Mytilus edulis: one gene and its partners. The main gene of each other region encodes a partner of the protein of the gene in region 3 in a complex. Links are inferred from orthologs where the notes say so. Each region holds a gene or a part of one and is shown on either strand. Other genes may lie near its edges. The genes, in order: centrin-3, nucleoporin NUP35-like, nuclear pore complex protein Nup93-like and nucleoporin NUP188-like.

Evidence for each region.
Region 1: nuclear pore complex protein Nup93-like (region 3) and centrin-3 share a complex: the UniProt entries of both Homo sapiens proteins name them as parts of the nuclear pore complex. The link is inferred for Mytilus edulis from reciprocal best matches to the Homo sapiens genes NUP93 and CETN3.
Region 2: the proteins of nuclear pore complex protein Nup93-like (region 3) and nucleoporin NUP35-like are in contact, whole or in part, in a crystal structure (PDB 7MW1), measured with the Homo sapiens proteins. The link is inferred for Mytilus edulis from reciprocal best matches to the Homo sapiens genes NUP93 and NUP35. Residues at the interface, in NP_055484.3 of Homo sapiens: Tyr266, Tyr269, Asn402, Ala407, Asp408, Lys409, Thr410, Glu411, Tyr413, Tyr448, His452, Phe453, Val455, Asn456, Leu461; in NP_612142.2 of Homo sapiens: Ala88, Pro89, Pro90, Val91, Arg92, Ser93, Ile94, Tyr95.
Region 4: nuclear pore complex protein Nup93-like (region 3) and nucleoporin NUP188-like share a complex: the UniProt entries of both Homo sapiens proteins name them as parts of the nuclear pore complex. The link is inferred for Mytilus edulis from reciprocal best matches to the Homo sapiens genes NUP93 and NUP188.

What each region holds. Positions count from the first base shown.
Region 1 is NC_092354.1:69,364,480-69,371,745, reverse strand, and holds the start of centrin-3, read left to right. Parts: upstream 1-4,239; 5' UTR 4,240-4,319; coding exon 4,320-4,336; intron 4,337-7,266. UniProt on the Homo sapiens protein: Plays a fundamental role in microtubule-organizing center structure and function. As a component of the TREX-2 complex, involved in the export of mRNAs to the cytoplasm through the nuclear pores.
Region 2 is NC_092350.1:3,170,030-3,177,436, reverse strand, and holds the start of nucleoporin NUP35-like, read right to left. Parts: upstream 3,019-7,407; 5' UTR 2,927-3,018; coding exon 2,899-2,926; intron 1-2,898. UniProt on the Homo sapiens protein: Functions as a component of the nuclear pore complex (NPC).
Region 3 is NC_092348.1:93,171,128-93,178,504, forward strand, and holds the start of nuclear pore complex protein Nup93-like, read left to right. Parts: upstream 1-4,361; 5' UTR 4,362-4,475; intron 4,476-7,377. UniProt on the Homo sapiens protein: Plays a role in the nuclear pore complex (NPC) assembly and/or maintenance. May anchor nucleoporins, but not NUP153 and TPR, to the NPC. During renal development, regulates podocyte migration and proliferation through SMAD4 signaling.
Region 4 is NC_092345.1:50,791,058-50,798,209, forward strand, and holds the start of nucleoporin NUP188-like, read left to right. Parts: upstream 1-4,151; 5' UTR 4,152-4,190; coding exon 4,191-4,216; intron 4,217-7,152. UniProt on the Homo sapiens protein: Component of the nuclear pore complex (NPC), a complex required for the trafficking across the nuclear envelope. Required for proper protein transport into the nucleus.

The DNA of each region.
Region 1 (7,266 bases), on a different chromosome or scaffold from region 3:
ATCACCAGTACTTAATTTTCACACAAAAAAGTGGAACAACCAATACTTCGGATGTTTTGATATATAAAAGTTTGATAGAACATACAAATCAACTTTTACAAGCATTTTTATAGAACTCATCACATAGACGTATTACTACTCAATTTTCAACCCAATAAGTTCCCCTTTCCTATTTTCCCCTGCATATGAAATGCATTTTCATAAGTTTTATAAAAAAATATATATATGTGTATCAATAGTTGTGTCTGTGCTTGAATAAGAACATATGCTAAGGTTTAATAACTTTTTAAGTCTTTTATTCTTGTTTTTCGAAAAGACTAATTTTAAACCACACTGGTACAACTCCAAAAAAAAAAATCCGGAAAATTATTGGCAGTGCTAACCATGACCGGTAAAAAATGTCTCTTCTGGAGGTAAAAGTCATACAAGCTTAGCAATTAAATCATGTCGAGTCATTTGAGCGTGCCAATATTGTTTTAAACTACGCAAATTATCAGACAAGCCATCCATGCAGTGGTGAGTTTACTCTTCATAAATAACTCCAAGGACAGCCGCGTCAACATTCAGCATGCGTTGTTAACTACTTGATGAAAATAAAAATAATTTGCTTCTAATGATTTAAATTAATCGGGGTATGATGTTGCTTTTCAAATACTAATAGAAAGTCTACATGATATATATATATATAAAAAAGAAGATGTGGTATGATTGCCAATGAGGCAACTGTCCACAAGAGACCAAAATGCGAAAGAAAGGAAAAAAACGTATTCTTTGTCGTATAGTTTGCAGTTCCATTTGTTTACAGATATTTCATTTTGCGAGGGAAAAAAAAGTGAAAAGCTGTTTACGATCGTTCGAAATGTATACTTTTAGCTGAGTGTGTGATATTCCTTAACGAAAAACCAGAACACCCCTTATCAAATAGATGGTATTGGTATTGCCCAAAGTCTATATATAAAATGGTACAACAGTTATTGAGATTTGGACAATGACTGCTTTAAAACTATAATAAAAAAAAGTATGTGGTATGATTGCCAATTAGACAAATCTCCAAAAGACCAAATATTATACATACATTTACAACTATAGGTCACCGTACTGCCTTCAACAATAAGCTACTCCCCTACCGCATAGTCAGCAATAAAGGGTCCGATTTGACAAATGTAAAACAATTCGAACGAGAAAAACAACGGCCTAATTAATGTACAAATAATAAACGTAATGACAACAACTGACTAACAGGCTCCTGACTTGGGACAGCCACATACAGAATGTGGCGAGGTTAAAGATGTAAGCGGGCGCCCAACTCTCCCCTTATATCGGACATTGGGATATGTGGTGTGATTGCTTATGGAACAACTCTTCACATTAGACCAAATGACACAGATATTTACAACTATAGGTTACCGAACGACCTTCAACAATGAGCAAATCCCATACCACTAAGTCAGGTATTACAGGTGTCAAAGGGACAATAAGGTTTATTTCAAATGGTGGTAGATCCAAATCTTTCTTAAAGTCATTGAATGTAGAGATCAATTAGAGATTATAAGAAATATCTTTGTGCACATAAAAATAAACATGGGTTGATAAGATTTGTAGGTACATTGCAATTATGCACTATCGCACTACAATGATTTTGATTTGCAAGAACATGACAAAATATTTCTTGCGGGATCTTTTCAAAACATACCCTTTGAAGAAATTTTTTGTAGGATCTGTAAATGACTTAAGTGACAGATATAAGAATTATTCTGTCGCGTCTTTTTTGCCAATGCACAGATATTGAAAAGTTATTCTAGGGGTTGCATCATATTAAAATCATGACAGTTATTTTTCAATTCTAATAAAGGGGTTTCCTCATATGTCAGACATGATGAATTGTGATTTTAGACTGAAGGCGTTACTTCAACCAAAGCCACAAGACAGTTTTTACCTATTCACGACATATGTAACTTTTTACTTATTGGACCCCTGATGTCTGGCATACAACAGCAGCTCGCGCTCTTACAGAATGCGACACGTCTTCTCTAATTGAAATTGGCAAATGACAAAAATTATTAGGGGTCGGGAAAAACATGCATGTATCAAAATTTGTCATTCTAGCTGGTTCTTATATTCACACATATGTTGCAGTGAAAATTAGTCCAAAGCGGATCAAAATGACCACAGAAGCAATGGTCAATCAGTACATAATGGTCTGATTAAACTCAAGAGTATTGTCGGCGCCATACCATGACATCCAACTTTTTTTTTCTAGTATTCCGTTACCTTTTCAAATTGATGTGCATATTGATGTCTAGTGTAATTGTATTACAATTATACATAGACAACAACCTTAAATTTTGAAGTGTAATATCCCTGTGAATCTTTGTTTGTAGTTCACATATATATCGGGATTTCAAGTCTGTGATTTATTCCATCGTTTATAGTTATATAAAGAAGATGTGGAATGAGTTCCAATGAGACAACTCTCCATTCAGGTCATAATTTGTAAAAGTTAATCATTATAGGTCAAAGCACGGTCTTCAAAACGGAGCCTTTGTTCACACCGAACAGTAAGGGATCTAAAAAATTATTAGTGTAAAACCGTTGCAACGGTCTAATCAATATAAAAAAAACTAGGAACGAGAAACATTTATGAACCACATCAACAAACGACAACCATGTCTGGCGTTGTTTTATATATATATATATAAAAAAAAGGGGGGACACATATTGTCAATGCGATATTGGTCTCGTACTGATTTATTTATTAATATACAGAAAAAACTTCATATACTATAGTTTCATGAACATAAAGACTATTTTTATAGTTCTAACATCATTTTAAGTCTAACTATTCAGCCAAGAATTTTCATAATTTTTTTCATAACATCATTATAGGTCAAAGCACGGTCTTCAAAACGGAGCCTTTGTTCACACCGAACAGTAAGGGATCTAAAAAATTATTAGTGTAAAACCGTTGCAACGGTCTAATCAATATAAAAAAAATAGGAACGAGAAACATTTATGAACCACATCAACAAACGACAACCATGTCTGGCGTTGTTTTATATATATATATAAAAAAAAAGGGGGGACACTGGTTTACTTTACAGTTCTTATTTCTCCTCTGTTACTTATGGCATTTTAACAAAAACTTTCCCCAAAATATCTTTATAGGTAGCCATATATTATTGCATAGCTAAATCTTAATTATGGCAGCCAACTGAGATTACTTTAACATGTGTTATAGCTACATGTTATACTATAGCATCCGCATACCGGTATTTAAAAAAGAAATAAATATGAAAAAAAAATATTTAAAGCTTGAAATAAAAGAAACAAATATAAACCGACTATCTTTTCAAACTGTATGATCTCTTTATTGTTTTATTTATTTTATGTTTTGTCATGGATTTGTCATGTTGGACAATAACAGATTAAGAAAAAATCTGCTCATGATAGTCGTTTTTTAAGAAAGTAAGAATCCGCCGCACCCTGTTTTTTTTTTTATCATTATCAATTTGTCACGTCTATAAAGATTTCACAATTATTGTTCAGCGTTTGCTAGCTAGGAGACATCCTTAATTCATTCAGTCTGATTAAAATACAAGTCACGTGTCGAAGTTTTGCTTACACGCTTGTAAAAAAGCATGTGACACACATGATTTTAGTCAGATTGACTTAACATTCAGACTTTGTCAATCAGACACAATAAGGTATCAATCTGTTAATTATACAATAGTGAAGTTATAATAACTTATATTTCTTTATTCTTTAAAGTTACAAAATCATTAGCTGTTTTCAACTATTTTATACGTAGAGCAAGATTGGATCATCTCAGAGGAGGGGCGAAAGATACCAAAAGGACAGTCAAACTCATAGATCGAAAATAAACTAGCAACGTCTTGGCTAAAAAAGAAAAATACAAACAGGCAAATGATAGTACACAAGACCCAATATAGGTAACTGGAGACTAAGCAACACGAACCCCACCAAAAACTGGTGTGATATCAGGTGCTCCGTAAGGATAAGCTCAACAGTGATGCGTCTTCCAAAATGGGGACGAGGTTATTTGGGGCGAATTGTCTCAACTTAATACATATATTATACTTTCGTATTATTAAAGTTAATGACCTTTTCCTTGATATTATTAGATTGATATTTAATATAAATATTTGTATTATTTTTTTTTCTATTCTATTGAATAAATTGTTGCATATATATTTTATTTTGCTTTACGAAACAGTCACGAATTATCAGCGAACGGGATAGCAACGACAAGCGGTATTTTTAACCGCTATTTATTAAACCGTCAGAAAACTAACTTAGCCATGAGTTTAGCTTTAAGGTACAGAGTGCACGGGTTTCGAGTATTTGTATTGCAATGTAATCGAAAGTAAATCCTACTTTAAACGTTTTGATTTCGTCGTTACAGTCAAAAATATTTGCAAATCTTTCAAGTTCTGACAAGTCGAATTTCATGTGTGAAAGGATATGATTACAAAAATTAATTATTTCAAAGTTGTCATTGTGAAAGCATTGACTTGTAAACTTGTTAAATTACTGAAATTAACGTTTGATGTCAACAACGACACAAAATTAAAGTAAAACATTTTTATAATTTGGACCATCTAAGTTAGCCACTGGCACTAGCCATGCTGATAAAATATTTATATAGAAGCCAGGGGTTAAAAAATCCACTAGCCCGACGTCCGGGACTACAGCATTTAGGCCTCGGGCAACCAGAACTTGTAACCCAATATGCCCGACGGACTAGTAACAAAAAATTCTTGGCGTTTCCAAAATAGAAAGTGGAAAATCCCCTCATCACTATTCTATCTTAGCCAATCAGATTCGACTTCTTCTTCTTCTTCCAGGTAAGGAACCGAATTCAAATTTTGAATGTATGAGGTCCCGCGAAAACTAACGCAATGTCGGACAACACAGAAAGTTTTCTCTTGGCTATTTACAGGATAAAACGTTCTCTATATATATACAATTAAAACTATTTACAGGATGTTACTGTCTAAATTTTAGCAGAGCATGCCTTCAGGGCAGCTCTGAATCCATCAACTGTGTCAGCTGATGTTGCTGATGTTGGAAGTTGGTTCCAGTCTCTAATGGTCCTTGGAAAAAATGATTGTAAATAAGGACTCTGTGACGGGCAACTTATAATATCCGTGTTTTAAAGATTTTAATGATATCAAGCCTATCAAGCCAGTCCAGTTCACAGTACTATCACGTGGTACAATTCTCATTTACATATCATGAATATTAATTAGCAAAACCACTACTAATTTCTGGCAATGGGATATTTTTTTTGCTGACATAAGTTTTGGGTATCCAATTTGCTAAAATCTACTATACAACGGATAAAAAATGTTAAGTTTATAGAATTCATTGTATATTGCAGCAAACTCTGAATTTTTAAGGCATACTCGGGCTAGCAGGTCAATTTTGTTGGGCTAGTAGTTCTTCCAACAGGGCTAGTAAAATCCTGCTACCAATTAGCCCTGGGCTAGTGAGCTATAACCAGTCAGGGGACTTACTTAAATAAGTGATTTTCTAAATCACTGATTCAAGTAACATTATTTCCATAAAGGTTGGAAGTTAGAGTTGTCTTTCTTTAATAATCACCTATTTAAGTAGTACAAATTAATCACTAGAAGAAGTGATTTAATTTTATTTTAGCTTTAAATATAGAATACTAATGACCCAGGGACTAATTATGTTTCTAAACTTCTCAGAACCAACATCTGTGTTGTCTAGGATGACCAGGTCATTTCAGGTGATGACCTTGTACTGAATCTAGGATAATGACATAAAAATCACTTGTTTAAGTATCAGACCTCAATTTCCTTTCCAAAAATCACTTCTTTAAGTATCATTCTTTTAATAACCCCCACTAATTTCAACACCCCCGAACAGTGAAATTTTTATCGCGAACAGTAGAATTTTATTACATAATCTGAAAGATGAAACCTTGAACTTCATAGGAAAAATACCCCTACTGCTGGGAAAAATCTTTTAAAAAAGTATCAGTTCATTAAGTAAAGCCATTATTATAGCATTTTTTCAACTAAAATAGAATTTTCAGCTAAATGATAGCATCAAAGTCATAAACCTTGCTACTTAAAAGAAGCAAAAAGTTATTTTTTTTAAATTTTACTAATTAAAAGATATGATTTAAACCTATGTGTTTAAAATTTTGAAAAAATTACAAAATTCCAATTTGTGACAAAACCTCGAATTTGCTACTCAAATAAGTGATTTAAAAATCACTTATTTCAGTAAGTCCCCTGACTGATAACAAAATTTCTTAACCCCTGGAAGCTGTTTGGTCAATTTATGTAGTATATTCATAATAACCAACTCAAGTTTGGTCTATCGATTTTCAGGAATTTTAATTTAAGTACTGACAATGACTGAAAGCCATAAAAATCTATTTTATTTTTGAGAAAATACATTTTGTTTTCAATTTCCAATGCAGTTGGAACATATATATAATGACGGGACTTGACACTACTTACCAAACTATGTAATTTGTAATTGTAACCGATTTTATAGTCAATAAAGACGATTAGGAAACAGATGTATTAAAATATTTACTCACTTTTATCCTAATAATTTCTGATAATATCAATAAAATGTCATTCAAACTAATGTTTTGCATTAATTTCATTACAGAAGAGTAAAGAATGCAAACTTATTAATTAAAAAAGAAGCCGATTGCATTCCCAAATTCAAAATCATAAGAATATAAAAAAAATGTGGTACGATTGCCAATGAGACAACTGTCCACAAGAGACCAAAATGACACAGATATTAACAACTATAGGTTAGGCCAAAATAAATAAACAGTGTGTTTCCTATTTCACCCCGAAAAAATTTAGGTAGGGTAGGTAGGTAAAACATTTTATTTTATGAAAACTTTTTATTTTTTTCTATCGATGACAGCAGAAAAAGATTCAAAATGAAATCATTTGATGTGCCTGCATGCTTCTTTGATATTTATTAGTACTTAATTAAATCTACAGGTTTTTTAATTTTCTGTAAAAAATATAAGAAATATGAAAATTAACTTACGAATTTCATGGGCCGTAATAGGAATATGTTCTTGCCAATTAATTATCTTAAAGCAAAAATGGCAGTGAAAAATCTGGCATGTTATTATTGTTTGGCCTCGTTGAACCTAACAATGTAAATGACACACAGGGTATACATGTGGGAACAGACTCCTATCCCCTTTTTAAGTAGTAGAATCACTGTAAATTTATG
Region 2 (7,407 bases), on a different chromosome or scaffold from region 3:
TAAAGGATAAACATGATCATGAAGTACAAATGTATGTTTAAATTTGTCTTTTTCTTGATGTCATAATTTGAATTATTCAAGTGATCTTGAAATCACTGCCCCTGACTGACACATGATTGATTAATACATTGTACGGCTGACTAAGTGTCTACTAGTGAAGGGAAGCAATCCAGTCACACTTCCCCCCACCTCTAGTGGCATCATACATGTATCATTATGACTCGTAAACACATACCACAGCTTAAATTTCTCTCTAACAACTGAGGGTTTTTCAGTTGGGCCCCAATGTAACTGGAAAAGCATGAATTTCATTATTACCAAATTGCTCGTCTCCACCAGGACTCATGATAATATCCGTCTTACAAGGCAGCACTTGAACCTCCTGAGCTAAAGAAGTACTTCCTTAACTTGACCGTTAACAGCTGTCTAAGTATCTACTAGCTAAGGGTAGCAATGCCGTCCACAGGCACTTGTTTCTATCCATACGCAGGTCGACTATACATATAAATAGAAGAAGGTGGCTAACGAAATTTTTTTTAGGTCACGACAGTCTCCGCTTGGGACGCTTTTTCTAACCTTCAACTTAATGCTAAAAATCCCTACCTTATATGAATCGATTCAGTGAATATTTTCCTTTAACACTAAACTAATTTCATAATCCCCACAGTGTTCCTCTTCACGGTAATCTACTCTCAATTCACTAAACCATGTCCAAAAGTTCAACTACCATCTTTTCAATGTATCTACTTCCGGTTGTGGGAAGAATGCTATCTTTTTAAAAACGAAATGATTCTGTAAAATTACCAGCTTATTATTTTCATTATCAATATATTTTTAAAGATGAAATTTCACCGAAATAAGTACATTTATCGTTGTTATAAAAAAAAGCCAGAAAATCAGAAACTAATTTGAATGAATTCGATAATACTAGAGAATTCCGAATGTATATGGTATTAACTCTAAAGAATTTCATCGATCTTTTATTTTGGAGGTAAAAAACGTATTCAGATTCATAAGAATTAGGGGAAAGAAACTGAGTCAATGAAAACGAAATAAATTTACTGCGATGTCAACCGGAAGTAGATACATTGAAAAGATGGTAGTTGAACTTTTGGACATGGTTTAGTGAATTGAGAGTAGATTACCGTGAAGAGGAACACTGTGGGGATTATGAAATTAGTTTAGTGTTAAAGGAAAATATTCACTGAATCGATTCATATAAGGTAGGGATTTTTAGCATTAAGTTGAAGGGTAGAAAAAGCGTCCCAAGCGGAGACTGTCGTGACCTAAAAAAAATTTCGTTAGCCACCTTCTTCTATTTATATGGATAGTCGACCTTCGTATGGATAGAAACAACAGTGTTCCAGCTAGGTTTTCAAAAGGGCAGGGTGCCAATCCTGAAAAAGGGCATTTAACGCGCGATATGATAATATGAAAAGGGCATATTTTAATAAAAGATGTTAATCAAACATTTGTGTTTATTCGTTGAATCACAGGTTATACAAGAACAACATCTTTAGCCCATATAGAACTCTATCTTTCTACTTTTAAGGCTGAAAAACTTGTCAAGCAGCTTGTCACACAAGTTTTTTTATCATTGCTTGGCACAGTTGAACTTTATATGCAGAATGTTTTGAAAGGAGATCTGTTTCATACTGTTTCTACCACATTTTACCAGTTTCACCTTTCTACCCCTGCTGTGCTTGATGGCAATACAGCACAAAACAGCTGTGCTCAGTAAATTCACAATTTTAGGATATACATGATATAAAGCAACAGTGAAAAATAGTATCAAAAATAAAGAATACAGAAAAAGATGACCAAGGCACCCTACCAACACTGCTACTAAGACCCTCTTTAACTTTTCTCATAACTCTAAATAAATACCTAAACATACATATTCTTAAGCAAGAAGTATGGAGACACATTTTAGAATATGTAAATGGGTTACTCAATGCTAGGAAAAAAATCAGATTGAGTTATCTTTCTTTATTCGGGTGTGCTCCTTCTTTGGAGGATTATAAACAGTACGTAAATATGATGCAAATATGATCACAATATGGCAGCCGATTTTGTTATTTTCGTATCAAAAATGAAGGCAGTCAATGACAAATACGTCTGAATTTTCTGTTTATTTTACAGAAAACAAGTAAAACAATGTCTTCAACGAGTTTATAATGGTTTTCCAACTTTCTGTCATTACGTTTCTTCCATGAAACTACGGTAAACATCGCAAATTGTGCCCAAGTTGTTGTATGCACATTTCTTCAAAGATAATTGCCGACTGACCGATTCTATTTGAACGAATTAATGTTGATGATCATTAATGACCCATCCGATAAACGGATTACCTATAACAACAGATTATGACACCAGTTGTAACCATTGATTAGCTTGGGGTGGTAAACAAAGTCATAATCTTTTCCCCAGGTAAAATTTAGTAATTAGCGTATCATATCAATACGCAAATTAATATGCAATCGATCTTCAAAAAAGGCAGGGCGCCCTGGAAACTGTAAAAAGGGCACAGGGCGCCGCGCCCTCTGAAAACGGCCTAGCTGGAACACTGAACAAGTGCCTGTGATGCCGTCACAGACCAATGTATTTGTCAATTTTGAATGGGGACATATGGTTGAACCCCCTCTTTTATCTTTAATTCTTGGTTTGGGAACCCCTTTTAAAATGGCTGGAACCGCTCAGTACCAGTATGTTTAGTATCTAGTAAACCATATAATGACTTTACATCACTACATGTCTTTTCATGGGATGTAGTGTGCATAAATTGTTGACTTAATGATTGACAGCCAAACATTCTGTCTCTGACAGTGCAGTGCCTGTTTGGTGTTGTCCGATATATCACAAAGTAAATAAAAAATCAATTTGTCTATGTTTTTTTACCATAACTGTCAAAAGTATGACTCATCATTTCCTTATTAATAAGCAATCCAAAGAAATAATAAAGTTATTTTCTTTTGAACTTTCAATTTTCGATCAGAAATTTGTGCGCATGCGGAGGAAATGAAATCTGTAAAAAATATGTCGGTATGGAGATGCAAAATTATCCGGATTATTTTCTGACCATTTGTATTGCAATTTCCTAGTTAATAAACGTATTTACACTTTTGGTATTTAGCTGAATCTTGCCTCCGAATGACCTGAGATCTACTCCAAATCACCTTTTGACGTCAAGCAACAATCACTTTTAAATTGTGACGTCAAATAATTTAAATTATGATGTAAAAGTTTACGGGAACCTGTGTGATTTTACGTAATGGCGGACAAATTTGCATACAAGTGTAAATACGTCTATTATTGACCATTGATTTACATAACTAGGAGTAGTCCTAAGTTGAAGGTGATCTTTAAATATTCATCGTGTATAAATGTTTATACAACAGAAATAAGTAAATGCTTTCCAAAAAGCTTGTCTGACTTTAGCATGTTTAGAATCTATTTTTTATGAACTAATCTATTTTTTAAGTACTAATCTTATCTATTAAATTAAAAGTCTGATACCTTTGATAACTTATTCCTTTTTGAATCCCCGCCTCTTTGGAGAGTATATCCATTATTTCGATATGTCAGTAGAACAGGTGCTATCTATAAAATTTCTTCTTTAAGTTTCTAGCGATCCTTCCGAATTATTGAAGATTATTCATAGAGAATGAAATCAAGAGTGTGTTATAAGGGCGGAACAAGATAGTCTAAAAGAGTTATCAAGGCAACAGTACAAGGAAGACATTTCACTCAAAACTCTTTTTTTTTTAAACTCATGACTCACGCAATTTAATTTTTAAGAATTTCCGGCAATTTTACAAAATGACAAGGTGTATGATTAGACGTGATAGCTAAAACGCTTTATATATCTGTCTAGAGACGATAAGTTCACCTAGACTAAGTAGTGTTTAATAGTGTGATCACTAGTGCCATGATTGTGTAGTGTAGAAGTCCCCCCTTTCCCTCCGCTGTATTTACAAGGGTGTTTATTTATGACTGAAATTATCCATATTTTTTTTTGATGCCTTTATTATGCATGATGTAGCACTGATTTTGACACTGTTGTCAAAGATAATAATTACATGAATTACACATGAATTACAATGTTGTTGGTGAAATTTTAGTTTTACATATTTGTCATTTGCTTGATTAACGAAATTATTATCATGTACAATGTCAAGCTGTATGAAGGGTATCCTTCTTCTATTGAATTGTCAGACTAAACAGGATCATGATTACACACATGTTTTTTTTGGGTTTTTTTTCTTTCCTGTTTGGCGACTTCGTTTGGGTTAAGGTGCTTCATATTCACACTTGCTCATTGTTGCTTATTGATACCATGTTTGGTATAATTGTATATTATTGCATTATTATAATAAAGCACCTTTCGCCAAACACTATTAGTTGTCAATTTTCTAGCGATCCTTCCGAATTATTGAAGATTATTCATAGAGAATGAAATCAAGAGTGTGTTATAAGGGCGGAACAAGATAGTCTAAAAGAGTTATCAAGGCAACAGTACAAGGAAGACATTTCACTCAAAACTCTTTTTTTTTAAACTCATGACTCACGCAATTTAATTTTTAAGAATTTCCGGCAATTTTACAAAATGACAAGGTGTATGATTAGACGTGATAGCTAAAACGCTTTATATATCTGTCTAGAGACGATAAGTTCACCTAGACTAAGTAGTGTTTAATAGTGTGATCACTAGTGCCATGATTGTGTAGTGTAGAAGTCCCCCCTTTCCCTCCGCTGTATTTACAAGGGTGTTTATTTATGACTGAAATTATCCATATTTTTTTTGATGCCTTTATTATGCATGATGTAGCACTGATTTTGATACTGTTGTCAAAGATAATAATTACATGAATTACACATGAATTACAATGTTGTTGATGAAATTTTAGTTTTACATATTTGTCATTTGCTTGATTAACGAAATTATTATCATGTACAATGTCAAGCTGTATGAAGGGTATCCTTCTTCTATTGAATTGTCAGACTAAACAGGATCATGATTACACACATGTTTTTTTGGGGTTTTTTTTTGTTTTTTTTTCTTTCCTGTTTGGCGACTTCGTTTGGGTTAAGGTGCTTCATATTCACACTTGTTCATTGTTGCTTATTGATACCATGTTTGGTATAATTGTATATTATTGCATTATTATAATAAAGCACCTTTCGCCAAACACTATTAGTTGTCAATTTTCTAGCGATCCTTCCGAATTATTGAAGATTATTCATAGAGAATGAAATCAAGAGTGTGGTATAAGGGCGGAACAAGATAGTCTAAAAGAGTTATCAAGGCAACAGTACAAGGAAGACATTTCACTCAAAACTCTTTTTTTTTAAACTCATGACTCACGCAATTTAATTTTTAAGAATTTCCGGCAATTTTACAAAATGACAAGGTGTATGATTAGACGTGATAGCTAAAACGCTTTATATATCTGTCTAGAGACGATTTGACGTGTTGTGGAAATGACTATAGAATATATATGGATCGATATGTCCAATAACTCAATTGAGTAAATAAATACATCATCTGCTTGAAGTTCTTCTTCTTCTTCCGAATACGGGAGTAGACTCCTAGGTAGGAGTGTAAAACTTCCCGGAACTTGTGTGCTATGTACATATGGACTTAATTTAAAAATAATATGACAAAGAAAAATCATTAACAATAACATATATACACTACACAGTGTAGATACTATTCTGTACGCTATCCGGAAGTCGCGATTTTCGAAGCGAGAACTTTTTGGATCACATTTTAAATTTGATGGGTATACTGAATTAAACGGTAAGTTGATCATCTGTACATTGCTTAATGATTAATTCAGCCGACATCGATATTCTCAAATGGTTTAGAATTAAATTCCGCACATTCAATATCCGTGTCTTTGCCTTAATCAAGAGATTTTCAAGTGCATCACTAAGAAAAATCAGTCGGCGAACCTAAAAACAATCTTTTTACCCTCTTAGTGTACAAATTAACGTAAAACCAGACTTAATTAACTCAATGAAGTATATTTCAAGTGGTGGTAAAAGTTTCAACCAGATCTTTGAAGCCAGAAATAAGAAAATTACACTTGTTTGAATTTCTCACTGTACGATCAGTCTCGCTTGTTTATTTTAAAACTGTATGATCAGTCTTTATGTCACTGTATTCTAGTGGTGATTTCAAAGTTATTTACGATACATTAGAAGGTGGCATTTTTCTAAATAACACAAATATATTTCAATACATTCACATCCTGAAAACTTATGAAACATGTTTTAGCTTGATTGGGTGTACTCGACTTACTACTTTAAGTATAAGGATGTTTAAATGTTGCTAAAATAAGAGGAAGGTTTGATGTATACTAGTATATAAGTTTCAGAAATGTCCTCCGTTATACTTAAAATTGTACAAACACACAGATTTAGTTGTTACATAAAAATGCATGTATTTACACACATTCGAGGCCTTACTGAGGCCTATAATTGATCACAGTTCCTTCACTTTGTTTAAGATGTAGAGCTATATAAAAAAGAAGATGTGGTATGATTGCCAATGAGACAACTATCCACAAAAGACCAAAATGACACAGACATAGACAACTATAGGTCACCGTACGGCCTTCAACAATGAGCAAAGCCCATACCGCATAGTGAGCTATAAAAGGCCCCGATAAGACAATGTAAAACAATTCAAACGAGAAAACTCTCTTTGACACTCAATTGTACACCACTTTGTCAAGCGGAGGGTTATAGTGATAAAGAAGTCCGTCTTTCCGTTCGTCCGTTGGACCGGTACAATATGTTCCGCCGGTTTTGTAAGCGCATCTCCTCATAAACCACTTAATATACATTGGGGGTTCCGGCCATTTTTAAATGGAGAGGGGTCCAATCCAGGAGAAAAGGGGATTCCAAATATATGTTCCCATACAAATGAATTGATAGTTAAAAAGGGTTTCAAACTGCCGGATCCCCTTTTTTTGAATCCGTCACTGATATAACTATTAATTAATCTTATTCGGATTCCTTATCATAAATGATAATGACTGTATTGTGTACCGTCTATTTCGATTTTTAGTAAAAATCTTTAATGGGGTTACTTTATATAAGATACGGACTTGAACATTAAATTATATGGGGGCACCCATCAGGTATTTCCAACACCTCCTAAACCAATCATTAAAGTTTTCTGAAATTGCTCCATTTTTACTCGATTAATGCATTGTGGACCTTCTATTTCTGTAAACTTACCAAAATTATATCACATGAATTATCCCCCTACGCAAAGCTGTCTTTTACCATTTTTTGTTATTTTAAAAGACAAGCTTGATTTATGTTATCATCAATTGGAGTCAACGGCGGACGGTGTAAATAATCTTTAAAAATGTAATAGCTAAACAGATAACTGTA
Region 3 (7,377 bases):
AATGAAAATTAAAAAAATCCCACCTGCGCTTTCTCAATTATATTTTTACAGTGTGTTGTACTACTTTTGGGACAAATTATATCAAAATTATAGAAAACTTCATTAGCTCTTACTCAAAATATGGACAATTTTATGTTAAGGGGGTCTTGAAATCTTTTGACAGCTTCCGAAGTGCTAATTTTTGACCTTTTTCAGCTGGACCTAATCACTACTTTACATTAATATTTATTACCCAATTTTTTTTACAGTGTCATTTCACCCCCCAACTTGCTATATGAGGCATAAAACATGGAGAAATAAATTTGGAAGGGGTATAACAAAAATTGGCAAGTAACACACTGTCCACACTAAGGACTATATTCGTGGACAACGAAAATCAAAGGACGATAACTGTGTACTCTGACCTAATAGGATAGAAAAAGTTGACCAATCTTAATAAAACTTGGTATGACTAAAGCTTAATATATTATAAGACTGCTTACAAAGTTTCATAGCAATAGGATATATATTATAGACAATATGATTAATTCTATATTCAACTTTGTGTGTTAAATTTAGACGTTAAAATTGAGAAATTTCAACTATCAACATTTGGGGCTTTTAAAATTTAAATTTGGCAAAAAAATACTTTTAAAATGCCTTAATATATAATATATCATGTATTTAAAGCAATAGAGTACTCATTTGATATATCAGACTTAGCATTATTATTCAAAAGTCAAATTTATATGAGCCTGTGCTTAAAAATAGAGGTTTTCCAATGAAAGGGTGTCTTACATGAAGATGTAATATTTTCCAGCAAATTTAAATTTGTGAAGCTTTTTGATTATAAATAATCCTTACATATCTATTTAATGTACTTTAAATGGAAATAAAACTTACAAATAACATATCATATTAGTTTAAAAGGGTCTTAGGCCAAGTAAGACTAAAAATAATTTAGGGTCAATTTAGGCCGCAGCACATATTTACATTTAAAAGTGCATATTGAAGCTATAGGAAATACAAATTTGTGTCTTTTCTATCATTTCTATACTCAGGTGACATGATACAATAAATCTGAGCACAAAAAGGCTCTTACATTCAACTTTTTAGCAGACAGTATGGTCTGATACAAAGATTTTTCACTTTTTAGTGAAAAACTTGCATGCAATTTTAGTCTCAACAGGCTTATATTTGAACCACATGCTATCCTACAGAAGTAAAGAAAGATATTATGAGAAATGAAACAGGTACAAAGGACATTGTTAAGTGTTTTTTATACAAATTTAGTGAGGTCTTTATTATTGACTTCAACTTTTATGTGCCATGCTCCTCACATTTAACTTGATCCAAACAGGGCGTTAGACGAGGGTCATTTATACAACACATTTTGCTCATACTGTCCAAGATAATCTTCTTTTCTGTAGATTCAGAGTTCACAAATAAGTAATAAAACTGGATTAAAGCATAGAAACACAAAAATTGAGACATGAAAACATGTCAGATAGAAAGTCAGAATGCCACTTATGCATCAAAATTGAAAAAGCTATGAAATGCTTATTTTGACCATATAATGCCAAAATTGGTCATTTTTGCAGAAATTCTATCAAATAAAAGTTTAAATCCTTTAGTTTTAAGCTATTTGACAAATTGACAACATCAAATCATTCAGGGAAGTTGCCAGAGTACAGATTCTATATTTCCTGATTTCACCTCTTAGGTCTGAGTACACAGTTATTTCGTAGTGCATTTCTTTTAGATAATAAATGAAAATTTTAAAAATCCCACCTGCGCTTTCTCAATAATATTTTTACAGTGTGTTGTACTACTTTTGGGACAAATTATATTAAAATTATAGAAAACTTCATCAGCTCTTACTCAAAATATGGACAATTTTATGTTAAGGGGGTCTTGAAATCTTTTGACAGCTTCCGAAGTGCTAATTTTTGACCTTTTTCAGCTGGACCTAATCACTACTTTACATTAATATTTATTACCCAATTTTTTTTACAGTGTCATTTCACCCCCCAACTTGCTATATGAGGCATAAAACATGGAGAAATAAATTTGGAAGGGGTATAACAAAAATTGGCAAGTAACACACTGTCCACACTAAGGACTATATTCGTGGACAACGAAAATCAAAGGACGATAACTGTGTACTCTGACCTAATAGGATAGAAAAAGTTGACCAATTTTAATAAAACTTGGTATGACTAAAGCTTAATATATTATAAGACTGCTTACAAAGTTCATAGCAATAGGATATATATTATAGACAATATGATTAATTCTATATTCAACTTTGTGTGTTAAATTTAGACGTTAAAATTGAGAAATTTCAACTATCAACATTTGGGGCTTTTAAAATTTAAATTTGGCAAAAAAATACTTTTAAAATGCCTTAATATATAATATATCATGTATTTAAAGCAATAGAGTACTCATTTGATATATCAGACTTAGCATTATTATTCAAAAGTCAAATTTATATGAGCCTGTGCTTAAAAATAGAGGTTTTCCAATGAAAGGGTGTCTTACATGAAGATGTAATATTTTTACAGTGTCATTTCACCCCCAACTTGCTATATGAGGCATAAAACATGAAACTGAAATGGAAAAAAAAAATATCTTATCACAATAGTTACTTATCATTATTATATTCTTCTAGATGAAACCCTCTGACAAATTAAGCAAAATAAAGCAAAACAAATACAATTGTGTATAACAATGAATCAGTGATATTGTTTGCCTTAAATTACTGGAGAATAAGGGCTTTTTCCCCTGGTGTAGAATCCCAATTTGGAAAAAAAAATGGCTTAAAATTATTCCCAAAAAGACAACTCTTTTCCCAAATAGTGCAGTCTCAATAGTAATTGTGCATGAATGCAAACTGAAAAACACTCATTTATACATTGTTCATGCCTACAATGACTATATGTGTAGATTTGAGGGTTCATTTATGACTTATCACTGACCATAAGGGGTTTTGTTCCACTTTTGGTCCAAAGAAGCACAGGTACAAAACAAGATTTTGTTAATAAATGTATATATACAGAATACATTATTCACTATTAAATGTGTACTAGATTAGAATTTAGGGGAAAAATCTCTTTTTTATTAAACTTGTATTGTTGATAAAATTATTTACAATTTATCATAATCTTCTTTACTTATTGCCTAAAACACAAAAAAGAGTAAAAACAAAATCAACATGTAAGGGCAATCACTCTTAGGAGTATAGTATACAAACGATTTTGGCGATACACTTATAAAATGTATGTAGACCTTCCCTTGCTAATAATTTTTGTCATTTAAAGAGTTTATCTATCTTATATAGTTTTCAAGTGAACTAGAGAGATGGACCAAAACTGCAAAAGTCACCATGTATCTGTATCTGTATATTTCTCGGAGAGATTTCAAGAGAGACATTCTTTCAGTTTCTAAAGGTGTACATGAAATCAGAAAAAGTGAAATGGTTTCATCCTCTTTGCCACAGACTCTGCAGATGGCAGATACCTCATTTTGAAAAAATTTCACTCCATATATTTGTCTTCAAGACATGCAAGATGAAATTGCCAGTTGCAAATCTGGTCCTAATTGTTAATTTGATTATGTCTCTACAGTTTGATGTATTTGTTGTAAGTATTGGATGTATTCTTTCTGTCTTATATTCACCAGATATGTATTTTAAGCTGGAGTATCTCTCAGAGTCTTTATTAATTTTTTCATTCCAGTAGGTTACTAGGTATGTATAGACGTATTTACACTTGTATGCAAATTTGTCCGCCATTATGTAAAATCACACAGGTTCCCGTAAACTTTGACATCATAATTTAAATTATTTGACGTCACAATTTAAAAGTGATTGTTGCTTGACGTCAAAAGGGTTGAGTTCAATATCGTAGCAGCTACGTAGCAGCTACGTAGCCGCTACGTAGCAGCTATCAATATCTATGTAATAACTAGTATTTAGCTACACGTTCAATAGTCAAAATCTACGTAGCGCTACGTAGCAGCTACGATATTGAACGCAGCCAAGGTGATTCGGAGTAGATCTAAGGTCATTCGGAGGCAAGATTCAGCTAAATACCAAAAGTGTAAATACGTTTATTCATTTGGTGATAAACTTTCCCATTGCTTTGACTTTTTTTGTAGACTATACATGTATGATAAAAATTACATTGGTGGATAACATGGCAATTTAGAAAACTTACCAAGTAACTGATTAATCTAAACAAAAAGCTTTCTCTAAATTGAAAGTACACTTAAAATATTGCAATCCTGGGAAACACCTGACAAAACCTGGGCGCAGACATTTTGGATAAATCAAGGTAAATGAGACGCTTGAATGTAATTCAGTGGATAACTTACGTTTATTAAAACATTTTAATGATCCAATTTCAAATCATTCTTATTTTCCTTTGGCGGTTTTGAACCGGTTGAAGAACATCAACAAGGATTGACAGAATAGGCTTTTGCCATATGAAAAGGTTACTTATTTATGATGAGACAACAAATAGTTTGGTTTTGCCCTGATGTACTGAAGGAAAGCATATGTATCCCTCAAATCTATTGTTATCCTTTTAATAGAATTATTGTAGTTCATGGCAAATGTGGTACCTAGTCCCTGAATAAAAATGACATCTGGCAAGGCTATTATTTTTTTTCTTTCTGGGATGCCTTACCGTTAATATATTTTTTCTGTCATTGCCAATTTTCAAACACAGGTACTAGACTTTCTATCAATAACAAGAACATATAGACCATGGGAAGAAAATAGTTTCAATTTATACGACAATGTCTTTTTTATATACCTTGGCACCAGGGCTTCCAAAACGGTGATATATTCCGGTCAGTTTATAATGTCTGGTAAAAGTCCGGCTGTGCAAAGCATGAAACGGTCATATACTTTTTAGGTTTCAAGGCTTTTTCAGTCATTTTTACATAATTCACGATCTTTTTGAACCAATCTTTTGCCTATAACATCAACACAATAAAAAATTCCGGTCATAAATGTGACATGATGATTAATTACTATCAAAACAACACCTACTTCAATACTTTCTAATTTTAATCAAAGGACATCGTATAAATTGATCGGTTTATTCACAATTATTTTCTTACATTTCAGCGGTTTGTATCTAATTGATTTAGTCCAAAAGATTAAAATTATTAGAAATTAGTTGATCAACATGATTTGATGAAAAATTTAAAAAGGTTTTATATGAAAAATCGTCAGAACTATGTCGTATGAATTAGAACATGTGTGCACAGGTGGAAAAGTTAATAATGCATCCTCATTTCTTCAAAAATGCTAACATTATTATTGATCTAACGTTCATTTCAAGTATTTTGTTGAAGAAATAACGGGGAAAAGAGCTTCTTCTCTCTGTCGTGCTTTGTAAACGTACACAGATTTAAGTATCCCTTTATGGTCCAAGTTTTACCATTGTCAAGTCAACATCCAGTTAGAACAATGTGAAAACGAAAGTAAAGTTTTTGACAATGTCATTTTGCACAAATAAAAAGTCTAAGGCTGATGTGCACACTTTGAATTATGCACTGCCAATTTAACAGTTACACCCGAACATTACGTTCAGGTATTTCCCATCCAATATTTTATGGAAATATTCTTTATAAAGGACAAAAATGTAAGTATTCACCTCAGAAGCTAACAAAACCTTTAAATAGACTTATTAAGAAGGGATATAGTTACGATACTGTTGTCAGGTCATTAAAGATTGCATATTTTGGCGTTAATATTGATTTACTTATAGGGTCTTTGCATCAGAACTAATCACATTAATATTGATAAACCAGTTGTTGGCATGACACGGGTTATGTTCTTCTCATATATGTTATGATGGTATGATACTAAACCCCTCACGGGGAGGATTGTGCCTGATATTCATATGATGAAGACATAATTTTTCAATCAGTTTAATTGAGGTCCGGAGCTGGCATGTCAGTTAACTGCAAATAGTCTGATGTTATTTATGTATTATTGTCATTTTGTTTATTTTCTTTGGTTACATCTTCTGACATCAGACTCGGACTTCTCTTGAACTGAATGTTAATGTACGTATTGTTATGCGTTTACTTTTCTGCATTGGCTAGAGGTATAGGGGGAGGGTTGAGATCTCACAAACATGTTTAATCCCGCCGGATTTTTGCGCCTGTCCCAAGTCAGGAGCCTCTGGCCTTTGTTAGTCTTGTATTATTTTAACTTTTAGTTTCTTGTGTACAATTTGGAGTTTAGTATGGTGTTCATTATCACTGAACCAGTATATATTTGTTTAGGGGCCAGCTGAAGAACGCCTCTGGGTGCGATAATTTCTTGTTGCATTGAAGACCTGTTGGTGACCTTCTGCTGTTGTCTGCTCTATGGTCTGGTTGTTGTCTCTTTGGCACATTCCCCATTTCCATCATCAATTTTATTAAATTCATATCATATCAAAGTAAAGTTTAAATTTTTTTAATGTAATGTCAATCATTGGAATATGGCCATCTGATTACCATAATTGCCTTTTGTGACTAAGTCTTAAGGGATTAAAATTGGGATCAGATATGAAATGTCCGGCTGGCTCAAATATTTTTTGGAAGCCCTGCTTGACACACACATGATATAGTAAGATCCCCACATGTTAGTATGTTGATGGATTTCTGAAATATCGGTCTCTCTAATATGTCACTTTTGGAATTATAATAATAATAATAATAAATTCTTTATTTAAAGAGGGTATACTCAGTTAGTTACAATAAACTAATCTTCCCTGAGGCCCTCACATACAAATGATACAATCAAAACAGATATTTACACATAGTTAATTTACAATCATGTAGTTCAATGTCATTAACATAAGATATAATGCTGTTTAAGATGTATACATGAAACCAAAAAATCAAATGAAAGTAAAAAATATATAAATACATTGTAGCAAACATTTCTTATCAGGGTTGTGTTAGGTACTTCTTGATACTTTGCTTAAAAGTAAAAGTGTTTTGAGCTTTACGCATTTTGTGTGGTAGTCCATTCCATAATACTGATCCAGAATAAGCAAAGGATTACTTAAATAGTTCAGCTTTTGGCTTTGGAACTATCAGATTACCTTGAGCGACACCTCTTAAGCCTAAAGGAGTAAGGATTATTATCTGATTTCAGTTTAAACTTTTGAACTAGGTACATTGGTGCTTCCATATGCATACATTTATATAGAAGTAAATATTTGTGGTATTTTATTCTATTGTCAACTGTCATCAACCCAAGTTTTTTAAATAAGGGGGCTGAGGGGGATAAAGGATCTGCATCTAGAATTAATCTTGCTGCCCTTTTTTGGAGTTTTAAAATTCTTGAAACTTGAAAGCAGGGAGACATTTGTACAGGTGCCCCTT
Region 4 (7,152 bases), on a different chromosome or scaffold from region 3:
GAGGCGAGATGTATAGAGACACAGACACGTTAACTTTTATTTCTATAGAAGTCGCTCTTCACTATACTACTACCTGTCGATACATTTATTTTTGGCATTGCACAAGTCATGTCTTCTTTGACTATTAATGACGTTAAAATACTAAATCCCTGTGATGTGTTTTAGTCGATTTTAGTCTCTGATGCATGATTTTTTATTATTAATTGGTTTTGGCTTTTAACTAGCTGTCAGTAACTGCGAGTACTCTCAAATCGTATTTTCTTGTTAATTCGACCTGTTGATACTGTTTATAATGCTTTTTTGTTATTTTTTATTTATATGGATCTTGTCTGTACACCAGCTTTGATTATTTGTATTATCTTCAATTTTTCACTTATTCTTACAACATTTGTATAAACTTCAAGATTATAAAAAAAAACGTTTTTTTTCTAAAGTTAACATTGATTGGTTAAATATTTCTCAGTCATGTCCTGCGTTTGAATTTGTTTGTTAGCTTTTTGGTCATGAATGTTTGTCTCTAATATTTAATTAACTGTGCATTTGTATTCAGATATCGCAGATCAAATTTATTCGTTCATTGTTTAATCATACGTTTTTTGATTGAGTTAAGTCTGCCAATTGATATTTTATCGTATGTTTTTCTTTGTTGTGATGTTATGCTATTGTTTCAGAAAAAGGGAGAAGGTTTGGATCCATTAAAACGTTTAATCCCGCTGCAAATGTTTGCACCTGTCCTAAGTCAGGAATCTGATGTACAGTAGTTGTCGTTTGTTTATGTAATATATACGTGTTTCTCGTTTCTCGTCTTGTTTATATAGATTAGACCGTTGGTTTTCCCGTTTGAATGGTTTTACACTAGTAATTTTGGGGCCCTTTATAGCTTGTTGTTCGGTGTGAGCCAAAGCTCCGTGTTGAAGGCCGTACTTTAACCTATAGTGGTTTACTTTTTAAATTGTTATTTGTATGGAGAGTTGTCTCATTGGCACTCACACCACATCTTCCTATATCTATTTTAAGGACATTAACAAAACCCAGTAGTACATGTATATGACCTGGTAGATGTACTATACAAATGTAGAGAACCGTTTTTGTTATTAACATGTATCGTAACTTATCAACTCTTCAGTCCAAGTTGATAACATTTGAGGAGGAGATGATTTGATCAAAGTCTTTCCAATCTTGACGAAAACTCGCGTAACATTCGTGCATATCCATCAATAATGGACGAGGGGTCAATACGTTATATATATGCAATATGGACCTGTTTCATATTTCTAGGTCTGCCAGTCGATTTATGTCGTACTTTATAATCAGCAATTTTTCAATGTGTTACTCCACTATTACTGAGTGGATGGGTATCATAAACAGTGGACAGGAACTTGAATTGGTATAGATCTGAGACATCAGCGTTCTTTTCTTATGCTTGTTCCAGCTTAGGAAGCTCGTAATCAGTATTGGAAAATGGGAACAATTTATAAAAAAGAATTGTAAAAAGGAAAAAAAATGTCAAAAGCTGTATTTTTTCAAAATATATGTTATTCAGAAATATGTCCACCAAAAAAAATTAAACTTATTATAACTATCAATGTGGTATGTCATTTTGCGTTTCGTCTAAATTTATAGATTTGATAAACTAATTGTTATGTTCAAACTGTATTAAACTAAGTAATTTTCACGTTTAGTGATGCCAGTTATTCATCTTATAAAAAAATGGGAATCTGATAAGATTGTTAATTCCACAGCTACATGTATCTATCACATGTACAATTATCTTTGTGCCATTTTCACATCTACACTAACTTTTTATAGTGAATCAGAGTCATTGTGACATATAGGAATAATTCTCTGTTGTCATATTCTGACTTTTATACAAAGAAAGTGATAAAGATAAACCGTGCTTTTGTTTCCAAAGGTTTTGGAGAAACTGCGATGACAAACAATAAAAATTAGAAGATGTAGTATAATTGTGTTATTATTGACAAAGTTGCAACAAGGTAGGGATAGCAAAAATAAAAACATCATAAATTGTAAAAGCATAATTTTTTGCAGCATTTTATTCGCATGTGTGTGGATTGTCAAACAGCGAAAATATATTTTGTAATTAAAAGTATATGATTTTGAAGTGGCCATTGCATATAAACCACTTTTATATACATGTACCCTTAAGGATAAATGTCAAAGTCAGTTTAATCTTCCATGGATCACAACAGATTTTCGTGAGGTGCTGCACGCATATGGCAAATATCAAAAGATTTTGTCACAGGGTAATCAGATCGTGTTCCAACATGCACGAAAGTATTAAAAAAAAACCTATTCACTTTGAGATCAAAGGTCAAAATATTATTGTAGGTATCTATGGCATTGACCTATGACCTACTTGCCAATTTAATGAGATTTTCTTACATTTTCTAACTAAGTACTATAATTATAGTAAAAATGTGTACAAAAGAAGCAAATTGTAAATGAATACTGTGTGTGTGTGCCTACATTGTAATGATTGCTATTGCAAACAAATGTGCAAAGTGGAGACGAGACTTCCCCTCTTTTCTTTTTTCTTTCTCTTTTATAAAAGACATGATGAATTATTATACAATAAAGATGCAAAAGTAAAAGGTATAATGTTATACACTCTATGTAATACCAGTTTGGTTCGCCAAATAATTTTCGCAATTATTTCAATTTTCTTGAGTTTTGCATATTTTTTTTACCTTATTTAAAAAAAAAACCAAAACAGATATAAAAATGTTAGTTTCATTAATTTTTTTATACCAACCTAGTACCAGACTTCCATATAGGTAGTTTAATCATAAGTGTTGCCTGGTGCAACACAATTGTGTTAGTCTCGGTAAACAACAAATAATAAATAAAGATATATCATAACAAGAATGTGTCCATATAATACGAATGCCTCATTTGCAAGGCCATTTTATGTGCTCTGTCGAACGTGAATTTGGGGTCTGAACTCCTATTTAGTATTATCATACTAAGAGAACATGTGTACTAAGTTTCAAGTTTACTGGACTTCAACTTCATCAAGATCTACCTCAGCCAAAAACTTCAAACTGAAGCGGGATAGACGAACGGACGAACGGGCGAACGGACGCACAACCTGAAAAACAGCATGCCCTTTTGACGGGTGCAAAACCATACCCAACTACCTCCTCGATGCAGATGGTCTTTCTTTTCGCACGACGATGTCCTTATCATGTTACATTCTTGAGCAGACTTGTCATTTTCAACTGTGTACCACTGTAGATGAGCAACAACTTATTGTGACAAAATCCAACACTGAATATAATCATTAAATCAATGAAAATGTATTCAAAGACTTGACAAAACAGAGACATTTATCTTCAGAAGGAAAACAAGACAGAAAATTTGAAGCCAAATGTATCAACTTCTATTGTATGAATGGGATAAACTTACCTTTCAATTCTCAAGGCTAAATAAGTATTTTATAGGCTAAATACAAACTTACCTGTCAATGTAGAATTGTAATCTGAGTGATACCGGTGTTACTCAAGTCACCATAAATGCAAACAAAACAGGCTGCTGAACAACGGTATGGGAAAAACTGGAAAGAAAGTTGGTGTGAATTATTTGCACACCCTATAGTCAGACACAAAGATGAAACACAGTTCAAGTTTGTAGTGAAATGATATTTCATGTGTAAGATTTAAATATGTACCAACACACAACAGTAAGACACTGGTTTTGACGGTAACACTTTAAAAGCATTATTTTTAGGTTGTTAAATTTAAGTTTTTGTCTGAAAACTTATAGAATATGAATGCATATTATAACTTCAAGTTAATTAGAATATCAATATCAATATGCATGCTTTGCTTAACTATCACAGGCACTCGTCTCAGAATTTTTTCCCCCTATAAACCTTTATGATATATTGATGTGTTTCCCTCAGTTTTAGTTTGTCTGAACCCGGATTTGTTTTTCTCAATCGCCGTTCACAGGCACATGTCTCGGAAATTTCTTTCCTATATACCTAAATATAACACTTATATTAAGGTAGTAAATCCCCCTCAAATAGTGACAGTTGGCAGGTGCTATTATTCATTTTTAGGAGGATGGGCTTTAAAAAAAAAAACTACCTCGGAAATTTGAAGGTCCGTCAATTGATTTTCATTTATGTACCTTTATTGTGTTTCCGGTAAAACAAAATGTGAAATGTGATGGCGGGACAGCTGAAATCTGAAAGGTTGAAGATTTTCCCTTATTTCCATAATATATTACTATTTTGATCGGTCTCATTTAATTGCCTGAACCAATTCGTCATTTCAGTGTCACAGTTTTTGTCCTTTTTCTTCCAGTTTTATAATATCGTCATTTTCGACCCTGGTTTGAAGGCAGAAATTAAAATATAATATGTGTGGTTCCAGTAACCCTAGCTGCGGAACCGTACTTTGCGGACCATGGTCCGCAAATAGTCAAAAAATAACATAAGGTAGCACTCCACAGTTAGGTGTGTAGTTTCGCATTTTGGCCCCTGTGGATTTTTCAAATATTAGAGCTAGTGTGCAATAAAATTCATTTTTGGATAGCTGAGTATTAAAATAGCCTTTGTATTGGGTTTATATGAACATCAAGAGTATGTAATATAGGCTGTTCTCTGTATGACAGTCCGTATTTGCATGTCCCTACCATACATTGGTCCGGCAATTATTGTAATGTTTTTTTCCAACTTTTTATCGCACGAACTTTGTGATTGGATTTTACGAAAAAATGAGGAGAAAGACACCCATTTTTTATTTGATCATTAGGAAGATTTATGAAAACAGTTTCTAAAAAGGTATTACTCAAAGGCATTGAAATTCTAGTTTGATCCAAATTTTGGGGGGATATGTGACATGTCCTGGCAGGTATTGTGGTACGCACTGAAACCCGGACCGGACCGGACTCCGGACCCGGACTTTGGTATGAAACCCGGACCCGGACCCGGACTGGCCGCCGGACCCGGACTGAATGCCGGACCCGGACTGTGGTTTTTTTTACCACTTCGGTTTTTTTTTAAAGATTACTGTCATATAATATATAATCAAGCATAATCAAGCATGTATATAAGTTAGATTTAAAGGGGCAGTAGCTCCGAGATATAATGAAATAATAAATAAAAATGTTCAATATAGAGAAATAATTTTATTTTAGCAGCCATTGTCAAAATAAACTAAGATACATCGCTTATGAAATATTCACGTAATCTCCGTATCCGTAGTATTCCTTTGGTAAGAAATACAGAAATAATCTTGTGTTATATATAATGAGTGGCAAAAGTTTACAAGGCCGTATACGTTAACCGGGATATTTTTTACCCCAAGATGGTACTCTGAATAAAATCTTCTGCGGCTCCTGATTGGATGATCATACAAAGTTGGAATTGCTCCAATAAAATTTAAGCAGCGATCGATCATCTATGTAATACACAATCTTGAACAAGTGAGTCCGGACTGTGACCTGACATGACCCCGGACTAGCTTGAAGTTTACTATACCTGCGTGTATTGCATTACGACGACTAACTGTATGTAAACTGTTTATTGTCGTAAAGTATATTGATGGGACATTTGATCAATCATGTAATACATAAGAAAGTTATAAGATATGTATCCGACATTTAACGAAAACATTAAATGTAATAGGCGAGTCCGGATGGTGACCTGAAGTAACCCCGGACTAGGTGTATTCGCAAACTATAGACATCGATAGAGATATAAAACTTCACAAATTATTTGATGAGACGAACTTATTCATTTTTATTCATTCAACTTTTTCCCTTATTGGATTGTCGTCGGAAACATTAATAAAAGACGTTTCCCCGAGAATCAACAAATTAATATTAGGCGAGTCCGGACTGTGACCTGATATAACCCCGGACCAGGAGTATACGGATTGTATATAAATATACTAAATTATTTGTTTAATTGAAAGATTTTTTTCCCCTTTTTGCTTTTTACATTTCCTTTATTCATTTCTCTATTTCTTTAGTTATTCGATTGTCATCGGAAAAATCAATAAACGACACTTAAGCGGCGTTCAACAATGTAATACACAATCCTGAACAAGTGAGTCCGGACTGTGACCTGACATGACCCCGGACTAGCTTGAAGTTTACTATACCTGCGTGTATTGCATTACGACGACTAACTGTATGTAAACTGTTTATTGTCGTAAAGTATATTGATGGGACATTTGATCAATCATGTAATACATAAGAAAGTTATAAGATATGTATCCGACATTTAACGAAAACATTAAATGTAATAGGCGAGTCCGGATGGTGACCTGAAGTAACCCCGGACTAGGTGTATTCGCAAACTATAGACATCGATAGAGATATAAAACTTCACAAATTATTTGATGAGACGAACTTATTCATTTTTATTCATTCAACTTTTTCCCTTATTGGATTGTCGTCGGAAACATTAATAAAAGACGTTTCCCCGAGAATCAACAAATTAATATTAGGCGAGTCCGGACTGTGACCTGATATAACCCCGGACCAGGAGTATACGGATTGTATATAAATATACTAAATTATTTGTTTAATTGAAAGATTTTTTTCCCCTTTTTGCTTTTTACATTTCCTTTATTCATTTCTCTATTTCTTTAGTTATTCGATTGTCATCGGAAAAATCAATAAACGACACTTAAGCGGCGTTCAACAATGTAATACACAATCCTGAACAAGTGAGTCCGGACTGTGACCTGACATGACCCCGGACTAGCTTGAAGTTTACTATACCTGCGTGTATTGCATTACGACGACTAACTGTATGTAAACTGTTTATTGTCGTAAAGTATATTGATGGGACATTTGATCAATCATGTAATACATAAGAAAGTTATAAGATATGTATCCGACATTTAACGAAAACATTAAATCTAATAGGCGAGTCCGGATGGTGACCTGAAGTAACCCCGGACTAGGTGTATTCGCAAACTATAGACATCGATAGAGATATAAAACTTCACAAATTATTTGATGAGACGAACTTATTCATTTTTATTCATTCAACTTTTTCCCTTATTGGATTGTCGTCGGAAACATTAATAAAAGACGTTTCCCCGAGAATCAACAAATTAATATTAGGCGAGTCCGGACTGTGACCTGATATAACCCCGGACCAGGAGTATACGG